Linked DNA regions of Kluyveromyces lactis. The protein of the gene in region 5 interacts with the protein of the main gene of each other region in a pairwise test. Links are inferred from orthologs where the notes say so. Each region holds a gene or a part of one and is shown on either strand. Other genes may lie near its edges. The genes, in order: STE5, SHO1, CBK1, ATG17 and STE50.

The links.
Region 1: the proteins of STE50 (region 5) and STE5 interact in a two-hybrid assay, tested with the Saccharomyces cerevisiae proteins (2 studies listed by BioGRID). The link is inferred for Kluyveromyces lactis from reciprocal best matches to the Saccharomyces cerevisiae genes STE50 and STE5.
Region 2: the proteins of STE50 (region 5) and SHO1 interact in binary tests that used the Saccharomyces cerevisiae proteins (3 or more experiments, as listed by UniProt). The link is inferred for Kluyveromyces lactis from reciprocal best matches to the Saccharomyces cerevisiae genes STE50 and SHO1.
Region 3: the proteins of STE50 (region 5) and CBK1 interact in a two-hybrid assay, tested with the Saccharomyces cerevisiae proteins (2 studies listed by BioGRID). The link is inferred for Kluyveromyces lactis from reciprocal best matches to the Saccharomyces cerevisiae genes STE50 and CBK1.
Region 4: the proteins of STE50 (region 5) and ATG17 interact in a two-hybrid assay, tested with the Saccharomyces cerevisiae proteins (2 studies listed by BioGRID). The link is inferred for Kluyveromyces lactis from reciprocal best matches to the Saccharomyces cerevisiae genes STE50 and ATG17.

The regions. Positions count from the first base shown.
Region 1 is NC_006042.1:1,102,432-1,106,667, forward strand, and holds STE5 (Ste5p), read left to right. Parts: upstream 1-1,476; coding exon 1,477-3,717; downstream 3,718-4,236. Other genes in the region: PDA1 (pyruvate dehydrogenase (acetyl-transferring) subunit E1 alpha), read left to right, coding at 1-236; SPO71 (Spo71p), read right to left, coding at 3,712-4,236. UniProt on the Saccharomyces cerevisiae protein: Component of the pheromone signal transduction pathway. It mediates pheromone signals acting between STE20 and STE11. It is absolutely required for pheromone-induced transcription of FUS1. May play a role in cell-cycle arrest in response to pheromone.
Region 2 is NC_006041.1:628,309-631,364, reverse strand, and holds SHO1 (osmosensor SHO1), read right to left. Parts: upstream 1,589-3,056; coding exon 515-1,588; downstream 1-514. Other genes in the region: DNA-binding protein kinase TEL1, read left to right, coding at 1-211; AVT5 (amino acid transporter), read right to left, coding at 1,912-3,056. UniProt on the Saccharomyces cerevisiae protein: Plasma membrane osmosensor that activates the high osmolarity glycerol (HOG) MAPK signaling pathway in response to high osmolarity.
Region 3 is NC_006040.1:668,582-672,604, forward strand, and holds CBK1 (serine/threonine protein kinase CBK1), read right to left. Parts: upstream 2,671-4,023; coding exon 514-2,670; downstream 1-513. Other genes in the region: RPL42A (60S ribosomal protein eL42), read right to left, coding at 3,191-3,507. UniProt on the Saccharomyces cerevisiae protein: Protein kinase that seems to play a role in the regulation of cell morphogenesis and proliferation.
Region 4 is NC_006040.1:232,099-235,158, forward strand, and holds ATG17 (protein kinase regulatory subunit ATG17), read left to right. Parts: upstream 1-1,282; coding exon 1,283-2,554; downstream 2,555-3,060. Other genes in the region: mRNA splicing protein SPP382, read right to left, coding at 1-1,068; threonine--tRNA ligase MST1, read right to left, coding at 2,663-3,060. UniProt on the Saccharomyces cerevisiae protein: Autophagy-specific protein that functions with ATG13, ATG29, and CIS1/ATG31 in response to autophagy-inducing signals as a scaffold to recruit other ATG proteins to organize pre-autophagosomal structure (PAS) formation.
Region 5 is NC_006039.1:104,650-107,221, forward strand, and holds STE50 (Ste50p), read left to right. Parts: upstream 1-1,162; coding exon 1,163-2,050; downstream 2,051-2,572. Other genes in the region: MXR2 (peptide-methionine (R)-S-oxide reductase), read right to left, coding at 1-305; EMI1 (Emi1p), read left to right, coding at 508-768; RRP7 (Rrp7p), read right to left, coding at 2,256-2,572.

The DNA.
Region 1 (4,236 bases), on a different chromosome or scaffold from region 5:
ACTTATTGGAATTGGGTATCGCCACGGAAGATGAAATTAAGGCTTACGACAAGGCTGCTAGAAAGTACGTCGATGAGCAAGTCGAATTAGCTGATGCTGCCCCAGCTCCAGAAGCTAAGATGTCCATCTTGTTCGAGGATGTCTACGTTCCAGGTTCTGAAACTCCAACCCTAAGAGGTAGATTGCAAGAAGATACTTGGGATTTTGCTAAGAAGAGCTTTGCTTTCAGAGATTAGAGCAAGAACGAATTAGGTAATTGAACGTTAAAGTTAACTTCTTTGCGTTTATCCTTTTTTTTATTCCCATCTCTCTACTCTTCCCTTTTCGAAAGACAACTATATTCCTATAAACTGCCCTTTCACAATATTATGCTATAAGGTTCACAAGATGATACTATTTGTATAGTGCATCTGCTATTTTCCACCAATCAATATTAAAGTACCAAAATCATAAAAAAACACCTTTTAGATACAAGTGTTTTTTATTCATTTCATTCACGGTATGGTTTCTATTCAGATAACTGTTTTTTTCGGTTTTAAAACATGAATGTTCATCTGTGACTTCTCATTCTCTCTCTCTCCATGAGACTTCGTTGATGCTTATTCTCAATGCCGAGAACATTATCTGGTTACTGATGCCTGCCATTACGGATTACCTGCGTTTTAATTTCTTCCCAAACAAAACAACGATACAGAATTTTCTCATTACTCCCAAAAACTACCTCAATAATTCGTGCTACAATCTTCTTTTCTTACGTTGATCTTGCGCCTGTTATAAACATGATTTATTGTGAACTAGGTTTTGTAAACTAATCTGACATTGTTCTTCACCATAAATTGTCTCTCCCCTTTTTGGTTGCTACGATACAATGTCGTCAAATGCGAAGCCGCATATTAGACAGATGAAAAGTTACAATACCTTGTCCATCATTGAATCATCTACTCACCTTTCTAATGACTGATCTCACGACGACTTACCCCAATAATCATCTCATCTCTATTTACTAGACTTACATCTAGTCTATATATAAATTGTATTTACTGAATTAAAGTATCATAGATATACTAGAGACAGTTTTGTCACCCTGGTTCCAGAGTCACTGCAGGACCCTACTCATCGACTTCCTAAAATGTACACTTTGTCCTGATTTCATCACTATCTCTGTTTTCATTTAAGGGAAGAAAATTATTCATTACTTAAGACCGTTGATGTTTAAATCTGAAACAACCTCAAAATGGCATCATGATGAAAGGGGAAAATATAGTGATTGCAGATTCCGGGAGATTTGAGATTCTTTTAGTGAATTCTCCAAAGTAGCTACCATGATATCGTTACTTATGTGCTAATCTATCAATTGAATAACTGAACAATTATTGTTCAAAGTATTAAGAATACATCCAAAAGTCTTCAAACTTTAAGGAATTTAAGAGTAACACTACGGCTGACTAGAGCATATTAACTATTACTTTGCTAGAAATGTCTAGAGGTAATACATCATCAATGAATTCTCAGGATATCTTATTTCAATTGACTAATGTGGGATCCTCCCCGGTGCCTAAACTGGATACAGGATCCACTTCAGGGTCCAATACCTCATCGCCAAGAAGATGGACAGAGCTTTTTTCTAAGAAGAGAGTGAAGACGCCTTCAGTTGGTACTCCATCGACTGCATCATCCATGATATCTTCCTTCTATGATAGTTCTCCCATAAGACCAGTGTCAAAACAGCATCCTAAGCACCTCCTGGTAGATCCGATCATGCCGCCTCCACCCATAATGCTCTCTCCCATTGGACATGAGACCTTAGGAAAGAAGCCCACTCGAAAAAATGGTAATAAGTCTTGGAAAAATGAGAGATGTTGCATATGCGGAGATCTTTGTTCGTTCAAGGGTTCTAATGAGAAGGTAATCCCTTTGGAGTGTAACCATATGTGTCATGAAGATTGTTTAATGGTGAGTTTACGACCTCTTCCTCATAAATCAAACCTGTATGATGCCTTGCCGAAATGCGACATCTGTAGTATGTCATGCATACCGGGACAGGAAGATATGCGACAGAAGGTAAGGTCACACTTGTTAACCTTACCTGATGACGGTGAAAGTGTTGGACTCGAACCGTATAATCCTCAAGAAAACTACGAGCGGATAAAATTGTGCGATGCAGACCTCTTACCCAAGCACTCAGGTAATGATGAAACGTTTCCACATTTGCAGACTACTAGAACAACTGCAAGAAATAACGATATCAGGTTATCTTTTGCATTTTCTTTGAAACCAGGGAAAACGGTTACTCCATCTCTTCGAGATTCCATCCGTTTGCATAGGAGTCGCAGTATAAAAAGAAGATCCAACTTCAGAGGAAGTACGGTTTCTGGCTTGTCGTCCATCGTATCATCTTCCTCGAAAGATGACTGTCAACTGCCTTCTTTGCACGTTCAAAGGCAGTATTTCATTCAAGCGTTTTTGAATAGTTTTAGCGAAGTCAAGCCTTGGGAAATTGATGCTAAATATGGACTCTTACGATTGATAGATAATTTTTTGATATCATTAGATGGCATAAATTTCCAACACCAGGTTTGCTACCTATTTTCGGAATATTTACTAGTATGTCGACCATCTCCTGCTACTTCGGCAAATGTTCTTCAATTCTCGAGCTACCGTTGTTTCCAATTGAATAATCCTCCTGAACTAGATTTATTAGATGCAACTACTCTTGAATCAAAATCTCGTTCTGGGGAAAGAATTCTTATTAAACCTTATGGGTTGGATACAAAAGCTTTAGAAAAATGGATAACAGCTCTATTTGATCTTACTTTGCCGTTCGGAAATTATGATTTCACTTCGATCAAGGTTCCCGAATTTGTGGCTTGCATTCCTAGCACCAATGATACAGGTACAATCATTGTCAGACGACAGAGTACCTTAAATGAAACCCTTATCCCTAAAACAATTCGAGATTCATCCGTGTTAACCTCAATATCATCCATTTTGTCCATCAAAAGAGCAACACCAAATGAATTAAATTTGGTGTTGCAATTAGATAAAAGAAAGACTAATGAAGATAATATCGTCTCGATCAAGAACGTCATTTTAGCTTTGACTTGGAAGTTTTCTACTTTTAACTGCTGTATTGTTGATGTTGAAGGAATGGTCATCAATTGCGGAACTGCTAACGATGTTCTCAATTCGTTGGCTGGTCCGATAAAAAGTAATGGTAATCAACCATTCTCTCCAGATCTTTTACACCAATTATGGTATCGGCAAAAACAGAAAATATGCAAAAATGTTGGGGTTGTTGTTTTATCAAACTCATCCATGGAGAATGGTAAATCATGTCTTTTTAGCGATTATCGAATATTCGCTGATGCAGGCAAACGGCATCCAAATGAATTAAAAATAAAAGTAGGCTTTCTGAATGTAGATTATAGTGATAATATCAAAGAACTCGTTGAAATTCAGGACTGGAACGAATTGCTTGAAGCTGTTGCCTATAGTTTTAATTTGAGCTTTGATGATGATTTAGATAGTAGTGACTGTGTCAGTACCTCCTCTAGTGATTTTGAAGTGGATTCAGTTCCAGATAAGAATAGAACATTCCGGCTTTCATCACCTATATCCTGGGAAAATCACGTACAGGCTGACTTGACAGGATCTATGAATGGTATTAGTGAATCTATTGAAGACCGGCAATCAAATCATATGTACGACTATTTATAACATTTTCACTCTCTCTAATTCATCATATATTTTTACCATCCACAAATCTCTCTCTTGCCTGGATCGACACATAAAAATCATCGATTTTCCCGAGACTCCAAGTTTATCAACAACGTGAAATTTTGAAGAGTCCGGAGTTTCTGGTGTTATTACTGAACTTAACATTATCCTTTTGTTTGGAAACCACATAACAAAAGTCCTACTACTCTCTTCATCCATGCTTTTCCATCCGTCAGCATACACTCTTGAGAGACTATGAGAACCTGGATTAATAGAGTTAAAGTCTTTGTCTCGGTCCAAGAGTTCCTGTTCACTGAGGGCACCTGAATATAGATAGCATTTCTCTATCGGAATCGTTAAAAAATGTCTATACTTTGTCGAATCTTTCGCGTAGCCCCTTATGGATCTATCGAAACAGTGGTACAACATTATAAACCCAGGAATCAACACCATGAAATGCTTGTTGAATACTGAATGTTTTCTGGATTTATGATAAATTAATCCTTGGTGTATTATAGG
Region 2 (3,056 bases), on a different chromosome or scaffold from region 5:
GGAGGAAATTAGTGTTTCCGATGCAGATTTCAGCGAGCTTTTAGAAGAAGATAATAATAATGATGAATCCATAAGAGCACTAAAGGGAGTTGAAAGTAAGTTATATGGAGACGGTTTGAGCGTTGAAGCAATTGTTCAGGAGCTTTTGTCCAGTGCTACTGACAAACAAAATTTAGCGACAATTTACATGGGATGGTCCCCATTTTATTAAGATTGATGTGTTTGAAGTTCTTACTCGAGATGAAGACTTTATTATACTACCAGCACCTGAAGCGATTTGCAAGCAGTATAATTATAAATAATAGCATATTCATTAAATAGCATGATTCATTCGAAGCAAGTATTTGCGTGTTAATGAAGAATTCAGTAACTGTGTTGATAAAAGCACTTGAATTTTTCGCGAATAAGGTTGATAAGCCGGTTGTTATTGCAAACTGTGGAAATAATATAATATAAAAGACGATACACAAATCAAATGTTTAATGATACAAACTGATGGGAGGCAGTAATAAAATCAGTGTGATTTCCCATCCAAAAGCTTAACGTAATTACTTGGGATAATCCCTGTTTCCCCGTTTGACTTCTTGGCTTTCCACCATCTACCCTCGATATCACCAACCCTGAGAATTTCGCCCTGTTCGAAGGATATTTCATACGCGTCAGTTTGGTCCGCTTGATAGGTATATAAAGCCTCTGCAGTGTATGGGAAACTGTTTAATTCTTCACCAATGTCACTGTATAGGCCTAATGTGTCTCCCATGGTAGTATCTGTGTTGGCATTGGTGGTATCTGTGATGAAAGTGCCAGTGGCCTGTGTATTCAGTGTAGCAGTATTTTGCGCATTAACATCAAGGTTTGGTTTCGAAGAGGAATGATCTGTATTTTCAAATCCGTTCAGCACTGTAGACGACACATACTTTGTAGACGATTGAAGTTCTGGCGCATACATGTTGCCACTGTGGCCCTCACCTTCGTCATCGTGGTGGACATCAGGCAGAGATGCTGAACGCAAGTCTTCCTGGTATTGGTATGGGTAAGAAGGTTTGACCGGCAGTCTCTGCGATCTGGCAATAGCCATGGATGTCTCTAGCACCGAAGGACGAATTCCGCGTAGTGAGAACGAATCGATCCATCTATTGGTTGGAGATGCATTATCTCCACCAAAATAAATCACCCACACCAAATTGATCATGGATAACAAGATAAATCCTGCTGCTGCTGCACCACTCTTGGACCCTTCATAGTACACAATACTGTTAGTACTATTCGAAGTATATACGAATGCGATACCAACAGCACAAGTAATGAACATTCTATAGTAGTCAACTAAATCCAAACAGTACACGATAAAAAGCGTAATCATTAGTAGTATCTCGTAAACTATAGTCCACCAAGAAAATCTTGGGAATGGAGACGTAGATGCTGCAACAGCAATGGATCCCGCCAATGCAATGATCCATGAGATCAATGCAATACTAAGTGTGCCTATGGCAAAAGGATCGCCCAAAAATGACGAGATGTTAAATTGATGAGATACATGCGGATTCTCCCTTACAGCACGGGCTTGACTTGCTTTAATCAACGCCATCTCTCTGTTTGCAGATATTCCCTTGCCTCGCTGGACTATTGGAACACTTGTGACAACACAACAACTAAAATTGAAATAAACTTGCTTCAAGTTCAAGTATGTTCGTATTGATTACTTTTTATATTTATGTATATACGGTATACATTTATCATTTTTTTTGGTGTCTGTCTACAATGAGAGATGAGTTATTTTTTGATCATGTGACAGGCAGCAACCAAAGGCTCGCTAGGAATACGCGGGCCGCTTATTTAGAGTGTCAATCGGGAGTACAATTGGTAGCAGTATCAATGGTTAGTCTCTAGTACCCTGTTTATCCTGTACCCTCAATGTGTCGCATGTAGAAATATGGTAGCACTTAGTGAAGTTATCATGACGATGAATCCCCAAATAGCAAGTAACAATGAGATAATTCTCAAGATTCGTTCTTTTGCTGGTGGTACAACGGATTTGGCGTACTCCGATGCGATTAACTTGTAGCCAAATATTCCAGGTAAGATGAAGGATATAGAAGTGGATCCGGTTGCTCCTACTATTGACAAAACGTTTGCTAGCGACGTAACACTCATAGCGAGGATGTACGAAAATAATAGGATTCCAGACGTGATAAAGATGAATCTAGGGCCTTCTAACGTTACTACTGGAGGCTGATTAGCGCTGTTTTCTTCAATTAATTCGTCTTCGCATTCGTAGGTTAACTGTTCGCTAGATTCGAGTTCAGAGTCCCGTAATAGACTGTTTTGTTCTGCACTTGTGGTTGTCATTGGGGGATGGGTGTTCCCCTTGGAGAAGTAATGTAAGATATGATTGACAGATGCTCTAGCTGGATGACATTGTAGCGGGAAGGCAAGGATCACTAACAATGCTATAGCTATTCTACCGATGGTGCTGGAAATGGAGTTTGGGTATAAGGTGATAATGTTACCAGTAATATGATCACCGAAGGTGCAATAACCTAGCGCTCCAATGGAAATGTACAAAGACATTGCTAGCGTAATGGCAATCCTAATCAATTTCGTTATACTGTCTAAAGATTTGTCTGATTGTTCATTGATGATGGAAAACATGTTGTGATGGCAAGTATACGCGAAAACGAAAATTGGAAAACTGCTTAGCATGGATGAATCCACATCACTGGGTTTCCAGATGCTAACATGGCCTCTTAAATGGTCGATTTCGCTATTTGGAACGGCAAAATGGAAGACAACTAATACGCATAAGTACCCAACTGCTGTAATTGCAATGGAAGAAGTGTACCTTAAAGAGTCTAACTTCTTAATGAAACACAACGGTGTCACGATGATCAACGTAACTGCAGTGATGTGAAACTGGCGTGATAAGAGCCACCCATGGGTTGTAAACGTGGACATTATCTGTGGTAACAAATCTCCAACGACCACCAAATATGAAACTCCGACCCCAAAACATTTAACAGCAATTGCAGCATCGAAAACGACGCTCAATTCAGGAC
Region 3 (4,023 bases), on a different chromosome or scaffold from region 5:
AGGGTTTGAATCTATATTGGACGGAAAACACTTTGATAAACTCCGTTACCCGGAGTAAGGAGATCATTCACACTAACATGAAATTTTTTTTGCCAGTATATAAAATCAGATACATATTTCTTCGTTTCCACTTATAGGCCTTTCAATGATTAAATACATTAGAACTATTTTAGTTTAACCTTAGTTACTATTTGTTTCCTAAAAGATCAACATCAATATTATCGCTCCACGGTTATCCCTGTGTAAGATTTCGTTCTGCGCGGGGACCGGGTTATGTGTTGTTCACTATTTCCTGGTTTTAATAATTTGTGTTGAAGCGTAGATTTAATACCAAGTACGTTGCTGGGCGCCTGATATTGAGTCAATTTGATTATGATCTATTGGGAATCAGCTGTATCTACATTTTCTCCACTTTAATGACCGTAATGTTTATAATTCTTGGTAGTATTTCTTACTTTCGTTTATTTTATTATATTTAGGAACTTCCGTCGCGGTTATGTACAGAGAGCGTTACTATAGAGCATTCTTTCTAGTTAGATAATCAAACCTAGAGTACGTGTACCCGATGAATGGTAAATCTTCCTTTGCATTGGATTGAGGAACCCCTTGTTGCTGTGTCATCATCTGTTCTCTTTGTCTTGCAGCTTGTGCCATTGCTGGTGAATCAGGGACATTTTCTAATTCATCAGTTGGGAAGAACCTAGTATCTGTGACACTGGACAACTTAGGAATATAAGGAGCTTCCACTTGCCTGATAGTGTTCCAATCAACACCACTGAAGAAAGGATGTGCCTTAATTTCATCGGCACCACCATGTCTACCTAGACGATTTTCAGAGTGAGTTAACAATCTTCTGATTAGATCTTCAGCTTCATAAGAAATATGAATATCATCGGGGAATTGCAAAGTTTGTTCGAAATTCATGATCTTACGATACGTTTCTTGTGGTGTTTCAGAGCAAAATGGAGGCCAACCAATTAGACACTCGTACATAATAGCTCCTAATGACCACCAATCACATTCCTGACCATAACCTTGGTACAGGAAAATTTCAGGTGCAATATAATCCGGAGTACCAACAGTAGAGTATGCCATTAGTCTACGCGACTTTCTCCAAGTTTGCATTTGTTGTCTATTTGTCATGGTTAAATGAATGGCGTCAACCAACATTGTATTTCTATTACCATTGTTTGTTTCGTTTGGGAGCTGAGGTTTTTGTAGATTTAATTGCTGTTGTTGCTGTTGTTGTTGCTGTTGTTTCTTTGCCTCGTCCTCTTGTAATAACTTTTTGTAGTAACTTGAATCGTGAGTCTTATGGAACCCCGTACTCAAACCAAAATCTGATAGTTTAATGTGGCCTCTAATATCTATCAAGATATTATCTGGTTTAATATCTCTGTGAATAAAGCCCAATTTATGAATGACCTCGATAGCAAGTATACATTCTGCCATGTAGAATCTTGTCACATCTTCTGTGAAAATTTGCCATCTGATTAACATGGTCATCAAGTCACCACCCGGCAAAAACTCCATAATTAAATACAAATATTGTGAATCTTGAAAGGAATAATACAATGAAACAACCCACGGAGAATCACTTCCCGCTAGAACATCCCTTTCAGCCTTTACGTGAGCTAACTGATCTTTGTTGTACATTTCCGATTTCAGCAATGTTTTCATAGCATATATCTTGCCTGTGTCTTTCTTTTGTACCAATCTAACTTCACCAAAGGCACCTTTACCGATGACTTTCACTGAATTGAAGTCGTCCAACGATAATCTCGTTCTACGTAGTCTCAAAAATTGTGACTCCTTTTTACCTAAAGAAGCAAGCTGTCTATTCTTACGTTCCTCGGACCAGTCCTGGGATGCCAATTCGGATTCCAGTTCCAATCTTCTTTGATTTCTTTCAATAGCATAACCAACACTACTCTGATAAAAGTTCTCTATCTTGAGCTTAACAGCAGCTGCTTTGTCTTGGGTAGTTTTGGTCAATAGGTCAGGTCTTCTCTCAAAATACATGTAATTATTCGCCGATCCATTCTGTTGTTGAGCTTGCTGCTGAGACTGTTGCTGAGTTTGTCGTTGTCCTTGCTGCTGGGCCTGTTGAGTTTGTTGTTGCTGCTGCTGCTGCTGCTGCTGCTGCTGTGCATGATACGTATTGTGTTGAGGTGACTGAGGTTGGGAAGAGCTTTGTTGCTGAGTAAATGTTGGCGGTGTTTGCTGTGTCTGTTGATGTACCGATCTCACAGGACTCTGTTGACCATTCTGCTGTTGCTGCAGTGGTGGCGGGATGTACAAACCGGACTCACTGGCAACAGAATATTGACCGGGAGATGTATGCTGAGCGGATTGATATACCTTCGAATTAGAGTTGTTGTTATGTGAATAAATGCTTTGAGTTGGTGGTGGAGTCGCTGGATAATTCAAGTTGGGCACATCAGTAAACCCTCCATTCGGATAATATTGATTATTATGCGACTGAGGTTGCGATTGCTGTTGGGTCAGACGGTCTTGTAAAGACGGCTGTGATCCTTGTTGTTTCATATAATTGGTGCTGAACATGGGCTGAGAAGGTTCCGAAAAGGGCATGTTTCCCTGTTGCTGAAAATCGTTTGGACGACCAGAAGGCTGTTGATAGTAGTTCTGATTCGAATATCCACCGTACATTACGTGTTGTTGCTGAAGTAGCGACGTCCAAACGGCCTTGTTGACGTGAAATATGTCTCTAAACGTTAACAGTATAGTTTCATGTTCGTTGTTTTCTAAAACAAGTTTGATTCGATGTTTTTGTTTTTCCAATGAAATTGGCGATTATGGCAAATATTGAAAACATATTTTAGACAATGGAATGAAAAAAGTGGTATACATGGTGAGTATGTACATGTTATATTAGCTAAGGTCATATGTAAGCTTTACTGCCTGCAGGATCAATAATGTAGCCTGAGTCCTACGCTATTCTTTGTAAACAATTCTTGTTAATAAACTCTTATGCGTTCTGCTGAAAATTATACTTAGAATACGTATAATACAAATCGCAAAGTGAAGAAGTACCCAGTGGAGACTAAACTATACAAATGACAGATATGAGATTATAAATGTGATGAAAGAGTATATGTGAATTCGTAATACTTATAGAAAAGTTAAAAAATTGACAAATGGTAACAAATTGGTCTTCCAAAAGATAATCTCAGAATTGCAAAGCTTGACCCTTTTGCTTCTTTTCACCACCCAATTCGAAGTGCTTACATCTCTTCAAAGCCAATTGGGTCTTGGTCTTACAGGACATACATTCCAATCTCAAAACGACCTTCTTGGTAGTCTTAGCTTTCTTGTGGAAAATTTGCTTGGTTTGACCACCGAAACCAGATTGTTTACGGTCATATCTTCTCTTACCTTGAGCGTACAAGGAAGCCTTACCAGCCTTGTATTGGGTAACCTTGTGTTGGGCGTGCTTACGGCACTCCTTACCCTTACAGTAAGTCTTTCTGGTCTTTGGAACGTTAACTGTTAGAAATTAACATATCATAAGATAGTGATACATGTCGATGTTAGTAAAAAAATATTCTTTAGCTTCATCCAGCTTATTTTGATTGCAGGAATTCTATTCTCTTCTTCTTATTGTATAGGGAGGTCCAGGCTATCTGAACCCCAGTTGTTTAATACGACTGAGTTCCTGTTAATTATGTTCAGTCAGTGTAGCGTTGACTTCACTGATATACAATTCTCTGAGGTTGTCTCGACTACACCGAATTAAGAAACATAGGGACAACAAATAACCCAAATTACTTCCTCCAGCGTGAACAGGGTTTTATGCTAGTGAATCGTCCATACTTCGACCAAAATACTGATCTTTTGATATAGTTCACCAACTCAAATGAACTCTCCCCCCTTGTCGATGCAATATCTGAATTTCCAATACGGTTGGTGTTTTCTCATTGATTCACTCTGAAATGCTGTATTCTGTTAAATAACCATAGCTCATTTCATGTTCACTTGGTACTAAACTTCAAACGTTCCATT
Region 4 (3,060 bases), on a different chromosome or scaffold from region 5:
CATAATGTAGCGGGAAAGGAAGTGTTCCCTGCAGCTAATAAAGTCAATAATAGGTAAATACTGAACGGTTATTTGACGTAGCATCCTCGAATATCCGGTATTTGAATCTAACCAATAACATAAGGGTTGATACACCAACCTATAAATGCTGCTTTGTGTTTCGTTCAAAATATATCCAGATTCCATTCTATATGAAAGAAACCTTATTGCTGCCCTCAAATGGTTCAACTTTTCGACCTGCATATCTGCCGTATTAATTCCACGATTAAGCTCTTTGAGCAAGAACATGGTACAGAGCTTATCAAGTATGTCATCGTCATTTATTTCTAGGCATTCAGTAATCTGATCTTCAAGACTTGGTTGCGAAAGTTGTTTTTCCTTGACTTTTTCTAAAACACTTTGTAGCCTTTCCTCTTGGTGTACTTTGCGCTCGTCATCTAGTTGAGCTTTTTCCAAGCCAACTTGTATTCTATCTATGTCCGAATGAAGCTGCAGAAGCTTATTAGCAATTTCATTCAAAGAGGAAATCTCTTCTTCATGTAATTCAGAACCATTGATTGTTCTTGTCACCGTATCAGGTAGTTCTATTTTTAATTCCGCAAGGAGACTTATATTTTGAATCAATTTCTCAAGCTGGGTGGCACGACGAGTCTTAAACTCCACTGTTTTCTTTTTATTTGAACTTTCATCTGATGATGCTGAAGTATTACTATAGTTGGAGTCATCTCTATCATGTACTGCACTTAACATCCCTAATCCGACACCTTTAGGACGAGTGACTGTTTCGATTGGGTTCACTATACCTTTCCCATCTCGTCCTAAACCTTCACCTTGTTTGTAACCCATTTTTGATAAAAGCTTGGCACCCATACCATAGGTCTTTAACATCTGGTCGCTTTTCAATCCATCATTGGAGTTGGCTTGTCGTACCGGTTCATAGTCTTCTTCTTCTTTTTGTTCTTCATTGTCATCGCTATATCCATATGGATCGGTAAATACCATACTATTCATTGTCATACTGATCTTTCTTCTTTTGAACTGATCATCGTCACTGATATGTTCTGACATCTATACTGAATCACTGGAGTAGTAATAGCTGACTTGGAGTGACTGATACTCCTTTCAATCTTTACTCCGATTAATAGGTATTTATTCATACTTTGAAAAGATTTAAAGGTTTGAAGTTCAGTCTTCGAAGTGAAATTGACCGTTTAAGGGTTTCAAATTGGAAACGTTGAAGAGATGAAGATCTTTCGGTTGATCTGAACTGCGTCTACAAGAAATGAGTGATGCTGCAACTACTATACCCAGTGATGAGATAGATAAATTGTGGAATAAGGCGAGAAACCAGCTTGTGGAAGCTCAAGTCGAATGTGAAGAATCATTAAAAATCCTCTCTAAAGTGCGAACTGAAATGGACAGCTCTCAAAAGTCCAGATTTAAACTTAAATTTATACTTAATTGTTTGGTGAACCAGGTTGAGTTCTTCAAGAATATCATGCTCGAGAAATGTATTTCTACAGAGTTGATTGACAATGAATGGTCAAAGCTGGTTTTAGTCGAGATAGTCAATGACGTGAGTTATTGGCAAAACGAGATAACAACAAAGATGAAGATCTTGCAGGGTACAAAATACGACTTGACTGACGATCACAGTAGCCTTTCAGATTTCATATGCATGGATCACGTAGACATACTACAACAAAAAATCGATGAGATTCCTATTATAAAACAACAAGTGACAAACATACGACAACACTACAAATCGATAAAAGATCGAATAGAAAACCAACTAGTGGCTGTAAAGTTGAAAAAACTCAGAACTTACTTTGATTCACATTTCAGCAGGGATAGCAAAAATAATCTATTCAAATTGTTGGAAAGTGATTATGTCACTGAATTGAACGAATTTGAGAATGAACTTGCCGATTTCTTGAGATCAATCACTGATCATTTCGACAAATGCACGATATTGAAGGAACAGCAGATTCCACTACCAGATTTGAAGGAACTTTTCCAGATTGTAAAGAAAGACGATACACAGTTAGAAAATATAAGGGAATTAGTATTCGAAACGGGACTTGAAGTGAAAGCTTTCTCAAAGAAAGTCAATGAAACAATAAGTGAAATAATGGACAAAATTGGTGGATTCCATCTGCTGGCTTCCAAGATTGTGACAGAGTTAGAAAAATGTGAGGAATACTTATCTATCTTCCAAAAGATTGCTAATTTAGTATTCGTTTATAAGGAATCTTGCATAAAAAAGATTGAACAAGTGCAACAACTCTGTGAGTTTTACGATAAGTTCAAATTAGGGTATAAAAACCTTCTACGAGAAAGAGACAGACGGAAAGCCACTGCGTTACAAATGGAGAAAATATTAAAGGAATGTCAGGAGAAACTACAGGCACTGAGTGATGCTGACTTGGACCAACGCCAGCAATTTTTACTTGAAAATGGTGACTATCTTCCCGAAAACATCTGGCCAGGTTATATCGACGATATGGAATCGATGTATAGTTTCGAATATAGCATACATAATGTACCGAATTGACGGTATTGTGTTATTATTGATACATAAGTATACATATTTACAGGTATAAATTATCTTTTACATCGTTATGGTTAACATTACTTTCTGTGGTTCAAAAATTGCAAGGTATCATTTATAATTTTTCTCAAGATCGACGAACCTTTCAAAGACATCATCGATAGTTAGTAAATCCACTTTCTTCGACTCCCTGGTTCTAATCGCCACCTTGCCTGCTTCAACTTCTTTGTCACCAATCATTATAATATAAGAATAATGCTTCTTGATGGCTTCTCTAATTCTTTTACTTACAGATTCATCTCTTGCATCCATATCAACAGAGAAATGGAAGCTGTTGAGTGGAATTGGGCTTTTTGGATCACTATTTTCACCACGTAATGAGTTGACTGTCTTGAAAGCCAATTCCATTATCTTCTCATCTTCAGTCTTCACTGGGATGACCATACATTGGTTTGGATTCAACCAAAACGGCCATTTACCTTTGCTTGAATCAATTAAAATGGCCATGA
Region 5 (2,572 bases):
TGCAAGTAATTTCCTGTGTTTGGTCTCTCCGTACCCTTATCACGTAGTACTCTTAGCTGTTCTGAAGTCAAACTCGGATTCCATTTACCGGTGCTATTCATTGTTCTGTAAAATTGCTTTGATAAGTTTAAAGATAAAATCCTTGAACAACTTCTTGAGAGCATCAAAAGTGTGAAACAATTATGGAGTGGTAAAACTTTAAGAATTATACCTATCAACAAAATAATGAAAGCTGAACAATAGATCCGATGGTGATTACAAATGCGAGTTTCCAGTTGTTTTCTCTTTACGATAGCATGGCTCATCGGCTTCTTGCAGAAAGCTAGTTGAAAAAATCCAAAATTCTATAATTTACAGCTTAAACATCTTTGTCAATAAAGAGCAATCTACAAAACGAAAGAAGGAGGTTGATTACGGAAGCAGCAAACCAGTCCGCCCAGTTTTGACCATTACCACAGCTACTTACCAAATAGAAAATATCATAGACTGTAAACGATATTCAACACTATGTCATCTAATTATCCAACAACAATGTCTTGCACTGATGCATTTGATCAGTTAACAGGATGTTTCAGTTTAGGAGGTCAGTTTAGAAATTACTACAGACATGGCCACATGAACGAATGTCTGAAAGAATTCGAGAAATTTAAGTTTTGTGTGATCCATAGTAAAGATCCCGTGAAGGTACAGGAATGGCACAAAGAGCAGTGGCAGAAGAACCAAGAAAGGAAAGGTACCTCCGATGACATTTGGAAAGAAAGAGTATAAACCATGGCCGTTGGAATGATAGATAGTTGTATATTTTCCACACGTATGTCCTGTAAATAAATGAATCAAAGTTACGATTGCATCGAAATACTTCTAGCGCGAATGTAGTAACAGGATTACCCCGTTCCCCAGGAATCTTATGTCAGAATATTCGCAGGGTTCCTTGTCATTTCTTTATGATTTCCGACAATATGGGAAAATCTATATTTAAACTTAATCGATTATTTGAATAAAACCAAGTGATACCAGAAAGTTGATGAAAGGAGATCCGGGGAACAGCTCAGTCTGTGGAGCATATCATTGAGCCAACAGAAGCATATTGATCAGTGGCTAACCAGTGATTCAATTGTGTTTTTACATCTCTTAAGAACAGGCATAGAAACAAAAACAAATAATGAGCGGTACAAATGAATGGTCAACTGAGGAGGTTTGCAAGAAAGTCAAAGCAGAACTTGGATTAACGGACGGAGATACATTCATCCTAGATAGAATACGAGAGAACAAGATAACTGGATCTACGTTATCTGAAATCACACTTGCCGATTGCAAGGAGTTATGTCCTGATAGCATTAGTGCCGTGAGGCTTAAGACATGCATAAACAAATTTGTTGACACGGAAGAACAAGCACCGGAACAAGAATTAGTGTTGACTATGAAAGGCTTACACCAGACGTTAAATGAAAAGTTACAAGAATTCCAATCTAATTATGCGCAACTCAGATTGGATTTGTTGGAAATCGTGAAGAGGAACAGTGGATCTGGTTCAGGTTCCTCTCAGTCTTCTCAACAACTTCAACATCAACCTTCTTCGCAAGATTACTTCGATAGAGCTCCACACCATTCTTCACACACGCCATCATCACCCAAATACAGATCGAATTCCAATCCAGGGCTGCCACCACAATCTTCAAGCACCAGAAATGTTTCATCGTCACATATTGCCACCACACCCGGATCGGCGAATACTCCAGGCGGAGCTGGAGTATCATCAGCTCCAAGTTCAGAACCTATGAAACAATTACGTGCCTCAAAGGAGGATTCATGTGAAAAGGTTTTAAGAAATGCGATGAAGAGGCACAATTTGAATGAAACGGATTGGAGACAGCATGTTTTAGTGATATGCTATGGAGATCAAGAACGAGTTCTTGATCTCGATGAAAAACCAGTACAGATCTTCAAGTCTTTAAAACAACAAGGCCTGCATCCTGCAATTATGTTAAGACAAAAAGGTGACTTTGAGGAAGTGGGAGAAATGGCAGCAACACCGGGAGGTAGGCTATAATGTTTGTTATCTCCTCCTTCATCAACTGGAAAAAACACTTGGCAAGCAACCATAAACTTTCATTTTAGAGCTTTCATGAACGAATAATTGTATTGATAGATTAATTATCTCTTTCTATAAGAGTTACGTATGTTGTACAAAGACACATTCTCAACTATAGTAAATAACAAATAGAGCACCTTATCAGGAAAGTTTTCTCAAATAATTATGTGTACGGGTTGAACCTTCTTTTGGACTTCATCTCCTTTATCTTTTCTTGATCTTGCTTGAATTTGGCTAGCAACTCATTAATTTCCTGCTTCTTTCTTTCACGGACTTGGAATCTATAGAAGTCCTTCTTTGCCTTCTTGTCAACCATATTAGGCATCTTCTTAGGTTTCTCATGCTTTAATAATGGATTTCTGTTGAATATCTTTTTCCTTATGCTGTTTAATGATTTTGTATTCTTTCCTACTACTAATGTGAAACCATCTTCATCAACAATAGATGATTGTACTTCTTCTTGAGCTTGCTGTTCTCTTT